2 linked regions of the Tribolium castaneum genome follow. The protein of the gene in region 1 interacts with the protein of each later gene in a pairwise test. Links are inferred from orthologs where the notes say so. Each region holds a gene or a part of one and is shown on either strand. Other genes may lie near its edges.

Region 1 (4,383 bases):
TGACCTACAACAAGCGATGACTAACATTGATTCGGAGGAGTTTCGTCGATTGTTCAATGAGTTTGGACAAGACTATTCATTGGTGGTGGATGCACCCTCGCAGTATCCCAAAAAAAATGCCCCCAAGGGGGGTAACAAGAATAGGTCAGGATTGTATACTTTGTTTTTTTATGAGATTTTTGAGCTACTTTGCGCCCTCTGGTAACGATTTTTTGCGAAAATATTGCATCAAAACATTGGTAAGAGACTACAACATGACTATAATACTAGTCAGGATAGAAACTTGACCATATAATTTACCTGTCATTAAGTTTTTAATTTTGGTACCTTATCATGAATAAAAACAATTAGCGGTTATCATTTTATATATTTTTCATGATTTTAATTTCCTTACCACAATCTGAACACAACTGAAATGTCAGTGAAGTCGCTAAATTTTTTACATTCTAATGGCATACTAAGTTTTATCGCCCGCCAAAAACTAAGTACTTCTAGTTAGATAAGAACAAATATTTATTTTACATTTAATTTTCAAACGTTAATTTGTAGTTAATTTAAAAAAAAACGTATGTAGGACGGAAGTAACAATCGAACTAATTTTTGTTTCATTATTGGTATTTCACAAAAATTTAAATGTAAAATATTGAAACCAGCTCAGAAAACGAGCATTTATTTTTTTTTTCAAAAATCTAGGAAAGAGACTACCAAAATAATTTTAATGTTGAACTTATTTTAAATATAAATGAAAGTAATCATCTTGAAAGCCCTCTGGGTTTGCTTACTACATTTTCTCTAATGAAAAAATACATAATTCTTTTTTATTATTACACTTTCACTGTAACATACATTGTTTATTATTATTTCTCATTTCATTTTGAAAAAATATAAATTTTGTGTTAAATGGTTTAATAAAAATTGCGATAGAAAAATAGAAATAGAAATAGAAAAAGTATTTTTGTGTCACTTAAAGCGAAATGTCATAAACCAAATACGATGAAAATGTTTCAAATATTTTTACATAATAACGTTTCTCCCAGTTTTGAAGTGACCATTTTTAAATTTAAATAATTAAAAAGAGGACTACGTATTTGCTGTGCTATTTGATATTTTCCTTTTGTGTGTTCAAATCAATGTCATCTAGATTGACTTGAGAAAAAAAGAATTTGTGTCTTTATTTTTATTATTTTATTGTCACTATTAATAGGAAATATTTTTGATTATACAGTGTCTTGAAAAAAAAATGTATGATGTCATAATAATATTAATATTTATTATGCTCATTAGGATGCCTTTTTAGCTTCTACATGTCCCCAAAGTTTTTTTTGAAATTGGTTCAGGGATTACTGTTAAAAAAAATAAAAACCAAAAAAAATCAGTTTTACACCTTTATTTTTAAAAATTAATAAAAAATACAAACGGTGTTTTCTCGGTCACATTATTAGTACGTACGTCTTGAACAAGGTCTAACAGACGTAATTAATTAAGTGTGATTAATCTAATTATTACAGGGTGTTTACAATTTATTTTCAAACATCTTAAAGATTACAGCCTTTTATTTTGGTTATTTCAAATGGCAATCCCTGTTTATTTTTATACCATTCAATAGGGAATTAGAAAATTAACGTTTTTTCTTATTACTAATTATAATCTTTTACCAAAAAATTGTCATAGAGTGCCATTAAAAAAAAGAATAATTCAAAAACTAGCAGGAATTTCGAAAAAAAATATTCTTTAAAAATGATCATATTTTCAAAATAGTTGATGATTCACTAATTAATATAAACTACAGAAGCACGAATTAATTTTATCACTTACATACTGAAAAACCTGTAGAAACAAGATTTATCGTATTATTTATTTTTTATATTTATTTATTGAGGGAAAGTGCCCTATCTTGGTGTAAATAACTACGAGTTTTAGCGTAATTTTTGTGAATCGGATCTGGCTATAAATCTGTATTTAAATTTTATAATTGACCACCAGAGAGCGCAAAGGTTTTAACTGAAATCGCTTATCCGAATTTTATCTAATAGATCGATGAAATCGTCAAAATCAAACTACCAAAGAGCGGACAACAGCGAGGACATAGTAATGGCCAAACAGGCAGTCATGGAGTTACAAAACTTCATTAAAACAAAACCTAGTGACGAAAAAGCCATCAGTATGTTGCGCCATTACTTAATGACTGAAGATAAAACCAAGTAATAATTTAACCGGTTTGAAACTATTTACTTAATTCAATTAAAAATTTTAGTGCCTTGCATGTTTCCATCAAGCAGAATAAGCAAGCCGACGTGATATTTTTACTCAAAATGGTGTACGTTTGGAAACAGTACCATTTAACCAACATTTACAACGACCAGTGCGAGACCGCTCTTCACATCGCCACTTGTATGCATTTGGAGGAAATTGTTTCGAACTTAATCGTGTGTAAAGCGGACGCTTCAATCGGTGATTCCGACATGAACACTGCTCTACATCTCGCTGTCATAACTAACGCACCCACGCCCATTTTTGAGAAGTTACTATCGGGCGATCACGTCAAAAAATTCATAGATAATGAAAATAATGGTAATTTTTGTTTTGTTGCGTTTACGTTTTTGTGACTTGTGGTTCTAGAGGGCAACACTGCGCTTAATTTGGCGATCGAGAATTCCAACATGCGGGCCTTAAAATTACTGTTGATTCACGGTGCTGATATTAATAAGCAACACAAAAAGAACGGTTATACACCTCTCAGGTTTGCCATCGAGAAACAAAATCTTGATTTAGTTCGATATATTTTGCAACACGAGAAGCTCAATCCGATGATTGAGGATTTCAAGGACATTAACCCGTTACAGGCGGCCATGAAAAAGGATAATTCGGAACTGATTGATCTAATTACCGAATTTATGGTATTGTCCTTTTTTTGTATTTTTTGTTTGTATTTTAATTGTAACTGTAGCGCAAAAATAACTACGTTGATGTGGAAATTAAGAACGAAATCGAGGAATATTCCGACGAGGAAATTGAGGAGAAATACTCGGTGAAATTGGAGCAAATTTCCACCGAAGACTTGCACCAAATGTACGCTAAAGTAACAAATTTCACCCCCGAGTGTTTGGAGGAGATCTCGCGCATTTTAGATGAGTCCCAAACGTGGCAGAATTTGGCCGATTTGCTCGATTTGGGGCATTTGACACGTTCAGGACTCTGTGATTCGAAAAACAGCCCCACGAAGTTGTTACTAAAGGTGGCGATTGAGGTTTGTGGGGTTGCGCAATTTGGTTGGGAATTTAGGGTTTTTGTTGCAGACCAATGGCGACAGTGTCTTGCAAATTAGGGACTTCCTGGAGAATTTGGACGAGACGCGGGCGGTTGAAATTATTGACAATATGGTCAGGACGCAGTTTTGTTAGTTTCTACTATTAGTTTAGTTTGATCATGTCTTTGTATTAATTTCGTTCATTTTTATGTTAGAGAAATTTGTAATAAAGGTATTGTTCCACAATCGAGTGCACTTGACTCGGAAACCCCTCGGAAATAAAATTAACTAGACGCCCTCTGGAGGCGGTATATCGTACTTGCCGAAAACAGTAACGAAGTTTTCGTAATTACTCATTATTTACCAATTCTACGTGTATACTGTTAATTTCTTACATTAGAGTCAGTCAGTCTAAAAGTGTGGTGGTAAATACTGTGGTTTTTCGTGATTTTAAAGTGTTTTTTGTTGGTTTGAAAGTGGATAAAAAGTGAAAAAGTTTAATTTTTGATTACAATGGGTTATTAAAACAATTGCCTAATAAGACTAAGTATTCGATCATAGCGGATAGCGAACACATGTTGGGCTCAAAAAATCGACAAAAATTGAGACATCTACCGGGGAAATTGTAAATTACGGTTAATTTTGGAGATCAGAGGTCAAAGCAGTGATTAGATATCTATCTAATTCCTTAAGAAAACAACAATTACATAAAAAATTGCCACGTTGAAACATGGCTTCCGCAGCGTCTTTAATTAAATACACAAAGGTAAAAATCAATTACAATTAACTGGACTTATTTCGTCCGTTTCAGTTGTTTATAAACAACGAATTTGTGGACTCTGTGAGTAAAAAAACCTTCCCAACTCTGAACCCCACAAATGGGGCCAAAATCATCGACATTTCCGAGGGGGACAAGGTATATTAAGTCGAAATTTTTCGCTAAATCGGACGTTTTTCGTACTAATTCCAGGAAGACATTGACAAGGCGGTCCAAGCGGCTAAAGCAGCCTTTTCCAGAGGCGCCCCATGGCGCAAAATGGATGCCTCAACCCGAGGCAAACTCATAATCAAGGTTGCTAAAAAGGCGCCAAATTCAAACTTTGAACAATTGCTTGCAGCTCGCCGACTTGATCGAA
Region 2 (5,319 bases), on another chromosome or scaffold:
AAAAATAAACATGACTAATACAAACTCCCTCAACATTTTTATTTTATCAGTAATTATTATCCCACCATCGATAAACACGATCCTATAAATCAATGTAGCGTAGGATATCAAAGCCCCCAAATAAAATTGTAAAAACCTGGACCCACATAAATTAAGACTGACAAGTACATTTTTTAAATTCGGGTTCAAAATTCTCACTGTTGAAATTTTAAACTGAAAAGACTTGGGTCGACACTTGAAACCCAAATTATACAATCCAGGTTATTCAAGAGAAAAGTACTAATTATACCCGTCGTTAATTATGTATGTAAAATAATGCGGGGCATCTTTTTCTTTATTCAAATTTAAACTTGCGACTTGAGTCAAGTACGTATCTACAATTCAAAAGGCAACACTTTCTTATGCAACATTTCACCACGGTGGATGTATTCAAATATTTATTAGATAAACAAAACATTTTCCTTCATCAATTTCAATTTAGAATAGCGGATTCACGTCGAGTTTTATTAATGAAAATGTAAATTTAAATATCGGATGTACCGTTCAAATTTCTTCTGGAGTGTGCATTTGGACTACATCCGAGTGAAAAGTTTCCAAATAACTGAACTTGTTTTTCGAGTCGATGCATTTTAGCTGGTAATTTATGATTGCAGATGCCTGGACGCGGTGACACTTTTGCCGGATTTACATACATTTTAACGTATTAGCATCGCCTGTTTCGTGTTATTAGACACATAAATTTCAACAACAAAGCAACATTTTATGCTTATGACCCACCAGTCACGCAGTGGCACATTTAATTCAATTTACAAAGCCGTAAAATTTTCAGAAAAAACCCTAGAGACACAGCCACAACGTCACTATCCGCGAATCTAGACACAGGTGTCCTTCTAAGTCGGGATGAGCTTTTACCCATCTCTTATCCCTTTACGACCAACTACCATTACCAAGTGCTTCGAAAAATTACCAGATTACGGGCAGTAAAAGCATCCTAAACCCAAACTCTCAAATAATGCTGATAAGATAAATGGGAATATTTTTCCAGGAAGTCAGATTTCGGACAAAACATCGAAATCATTGGTCTTTAAATCCAAACAAAACTGTATATGTATTTAATTTTAAAATTTACTAAATTATTACTTATATTTCGTACTATTATTTAAATTTTAAATAAATAAAACAACAAAATGTGTGTTTACAATGGATTTATTTCAACCGTAGCAACTGATATAAAATATAAAGTTCGAAATCCAGTACAATTTAGAAAACAACAAATAGTTTTTTTGAATTTTAAACAATTGTTAGGTTTATGCTCAGCCTAAGACATTATCATACATTCAAAAAACAATATATTAATTAATTACAAAAAAAAACAAGAAAACCATTCCATAACACATTGATTTTCAAACAGCACCTTTATACCTGCGACTTAATATTTTCACAGAAAAGGTCTTTGACATCTCTTTCGTAGTAATGCTTCCTAATAAGCTGACTTTAAGTAGTATAATTCTTGTAAATTTTTACGTTCCCTCCAAAAATGATTCAATTTAAAACTGGTGTTTTCCCCTATCCCCTTATTTTCATATTATGTTCAGATACTTACGCATACACAAAACAATTAACGTATTGTTTATTTGTTTAATCTTTCTTGGCACAAATTATTTTATAACAGTTCAACAACAAAAAAGGTAAATGAATGATGACAATGAAAATACTAATCAAATCGATTAATGTTTCTAATAAAATTATTGTTGTATTTACTTTTGTTTTATTACTAGATTATTTTACCATCCTATATAAAAAATCGAAAAATTGTACGCATCAGCATTTAATAAAGATAATAACTAAATCAGAATCATACTAACAAAAGTGTTAACACAATTTATAACTTCATTTATATGTGATTCAAACAAGATGATAGAAAAATTTAATTTGTAACTGTGTTACAAATTAAATTTTGTTCAAGCATGTCTGAAACGAGCTTTACGAGCTGATACAAAATATGAGGTCAATATATTTTGTTTTCAAGAGAACATGTATAAGCTTTAATGACTTCATTAAAAAAGCTTTTAAGCACGCTCTAACATAAAACAGGTAATGAAAATAAATTTTATTAAAAAAATGGTACAACATTCTTTCTACAGAGACTTTTTTTAACTCTAAAAATAGTCACCATGTTACCAATAATACGAAAAATAATAATTATTTGATGTCAAGTTGTTTGAAGTTTATTTTAGTGAAAAGATAATCCTTTGTAATCCGGCATTTCCCCTAAAAAAATATAAATTGCTTTTGCTTTGAAAAGAACCGAATTGTTATTTGTTTCTTGCCAGTGGTGGCGCAACTCCTGGGGGTAGGAGGTAGTGAATCAAAAAAATACGTTCGTCAAAAAAAAACTAAAACTATGCAAAAATAAAGGTTAATAAATGTCCAGTGTTTAAAAATAATCAGTTTTTAAAGATACTAATCTTAACTGAGGGCTGAAAAGATAATCCTTTGTGATCTGGCATTTCTCTTAAAAAAATATACTCGTACCACCAATTTCGTTATTTAGTGAAATTTGTCGGCTCAAAAAAAGTGGAAATAGAATGACAAAAAAATACGTGCGTTTTTAACGTGGCTCACAATCTAGGAAGTCATGTTGGTACAAGCTCAACTTAAGTTTTATCTTCAAGCTTCTAAATATCACAATAAAATCTTAAGTATCTTTCATTATTACAGTTAGCTATGAAAAAATTATGACTCAAATCATGGAAGATTTATGTATTCCTCGATCGGTCATGAAATTTCCCATAAAACTCTAATCGAATCCAGGCATCCAAAGCGTGAGAGCCTGTAAGCCCCAATTATAAAATTTAATGTCCTCGCTCCCCTCCGCTCCAAAATCAATATACCCGCACCCAGATTTGGTTAAATCGGCAAAAATAACCTAAAAACGTTGAGATAACACGAGCGGATAACCTCAATTTCTAAAATCACGATGCTCCAACGAATTCGAGCAAGATAAGCAATTAACACGGAATTAAAATCGGTCCTGTAAAAAGTCCCTCGGACGTCATTCCTTTATCGGCGATCAGCTGAGACCGAGTGTCAACAACCGCAAAGGCCCTTAGGCCGGCCCTGTCCACTTACCAGGGGTCAATTTTTGGCTGACGACATCGGGAAAGACGGACTTGGGCTTGGGGGAGGAGGAGGTGGCCGGAGGCGAAGCCCTGTCTCTGTGCGTGGGGCTCTCGCAGAAGGGAATGCAGCGCCTGCGTTTGGCCGGACGGCCCCCCAGCACGGGCTCCCAATCCAAGGAACGTTTCAGAGTAGCGCACGCCATTTTTAGTTCTGTCGCTAACACTTCACACACAAAACAAACTTTGTTTCACAGGCTATCGCGAATTTGCTATGTACAAAACCGAAATTGCACTTGGACACTTATGCAGCGGTACTTTTACCCCGAAACTTGTCCATGAAAGGGGAATGGTCGACGATTTCATGCGCACCCAACGACCAATATGGCGAAACGAAATAAGAGAAGTGACATTTTGTGAACGGCAGAGTGGGCTGTGATGAATATACGGTTACCATTGGCTTGCGCGACTCTGCGCATGCTTTGTACCCTGGCGACATCTCCCGGGACCAAAGATCTTCGCGTTTTTTCAAAATTAATTGGGCTAATTTAAAGGCAATTACGCAAATTTCCGTCTAACAACGGCTAAAACGAATGTATCATGAAATCGCTTGCTACCTTATGCCATTTTTAGGCACGTTACTGTTGCTTTTGCTTTGAAAAGAACCGAATTGTTACTTGTTTCTTGCCAGTGGTGGCGCAACACCTGGGGGTAGGGGGTAGTGAATCAAAAAAGTGCGTTCGGCAAAAAAAAAACTATGCAAAAATAAAGTCCAGTGTTTAAAAATAATCAGTTTTTAAAGATACTAATCTTAACTGAGGGCTGAAAGAAAGCAAATCCGTGTAATATAGACATTTTTTTATTAAATACTTTTTATCCAAATATGATACCAATATGCCTCAACAATAAAATCACATAATCTTAAATCTTAACATAAAATATACTATCCAATTTATATATTATACTTAGCTCTTAATAATATTTGGCATATATATTAAAATGTACAGAGCTGATATTTTGTATAGCATAGGACTTTGCCAGATTCCTACAACAAACCAAGCTAAATATTATTGTCAAAGAAAAACCGGTGACGGAACCAAAAACCGTTCGCACACGTCTGTGTGCAGTGTGTTTCAAACGTAAGAGGCACGGAATAAACAACAATGTGAGTGGTTCATTTAAAAACTGTCTAATCTGCACAAAACCCTGTTCAACACGAACACAGCTCAAAAGCGTATTAAGATATCATAAGTCGTAGTTCTACAACATCCTTGCTTTTAGTCGACCCCATTGTACCGTTCAACTGAACACTTACGATTACTAGAATTTAGAAATTTTAACAAGAAATCACAAGTATATTATCTCCCTTAAAAACTAGCAACGGCTGAAGCGCGTCCAGGATTTTTTAACATATCACAGCTAGCGCCAGAAACAAGTCAAACAATGATACGTTTTGATAATTGACTTGCGACGAGTATTTTCATGATTTCGAGCGAGAAAGAAACAATATTCAACACTGGGCTAAGGGTCACATTTAGACATCGCCACTTAATTCTAAACCGATATTAGAAGAAATCCTGAACGACTTCGAGTCACCTTGATCTACGGTTCAAAGTTCAACAAATAATCTTTCAGCTGATTGGGCAGATTCAGTTTGTTAATGTAGAGTCCCGGTCTGCGCCCGAGACAGTTGTGTATTTTAACGCGGCAGATCTGTTTCAGACTTCTTGGTCTTTTGTATAAATCTCTAATAATACAGGTCAACGGCTCAGTCATTTTCCCCGGTACCAAACTCAACTGCTGAGTGTGCAAAATCTTCAGACATTCGAATAGCGGCTTGTGTTGCATTATAAAATAAAATAACATGATTATTTTCGAAAAGCTCATGTTCGGGTCCATTATGAGATTCTCTTTACGCGATATAAGCATTATGTAATAGTACAAGATGTAGTTTTTCGTCTTCCAAATGGATTGGAGGTGCAACGGATGGTTCTTTATTGCTTCGGACATGTTCAAGCTCAGGTCGGGATTCGCCCCGTATTGTACCAAAGTAAGCGTAAGGTCGTAGACGTAGTGGATATCCTTCGAGTCGCGCACGTTCTGTATCATGTCCATGCACGACTGCAGAATGTGCTGCGTCCGCATGCTAACTCTAACGTTCGGATCGAGACCGTGAATCAACAAAAGGACCAACAAATTC

The links.
Region 2: the proteins of Rel (region 1) and akirin interact in binary tests that used the Drosophila melanogaster proteins (3 or more experiments, as listed by UniProt). The link is inferred for Tribolium castaneum from reciprocal best matches to the Drosophila melanogaster genes Rel and akirin.

Annotation. Positions count from the first base shown.
Region 1 is NC_087400.1:6,385,876-6,390,258, reverse strand, and holds the end of Rel (nuclear factor NF-kappa-B p110 subunit), read left to right. Parts: coding exon 1-144; intron 145-2,033; coding exon 2,034-2,201; intron 2,202-2,254; coding exon 2,255-2,571; intron 2,572-2,619; coding exon 2,620-2,897; intron 2,898-2,947; coding exon 2,948-3,247; intron 3,248-3,296; coding exon 3,297-3,401; 3' UTR 3,402-3,493; downstream 3,494-4,383. Other genes in the region: aldehyde dehydrogenase 1A1, read left to right, coding at 3,978-4,013, 4,059-4,163, 4,218-4,319, 4,366-4,383. UniProt on the Drosophila melanogaster protein: Transcription factor that plays a key role in the humoral immune response as part of the peptidoglycan recognition protein (IMD) signaling pathway.
Region 2 is NC_087398.1:5,660,738-5,666,056, forward strand, and holds the start of akirin (akirin), read right to left. Parts: upstream 3,571-5,319; 5' UTR 3,326-3,570; coding exon 3,133-3,325; intron 1-3,132. Other genes in the region: ankyrin-3, read right to left, coding at 4,722-5,319. UniProt on the Drosophila melanogaster protein: Molecular adapter that acts as a bridge between a variety of multiprotein complexes, and which is required for embryonic development and for normal innate immune response.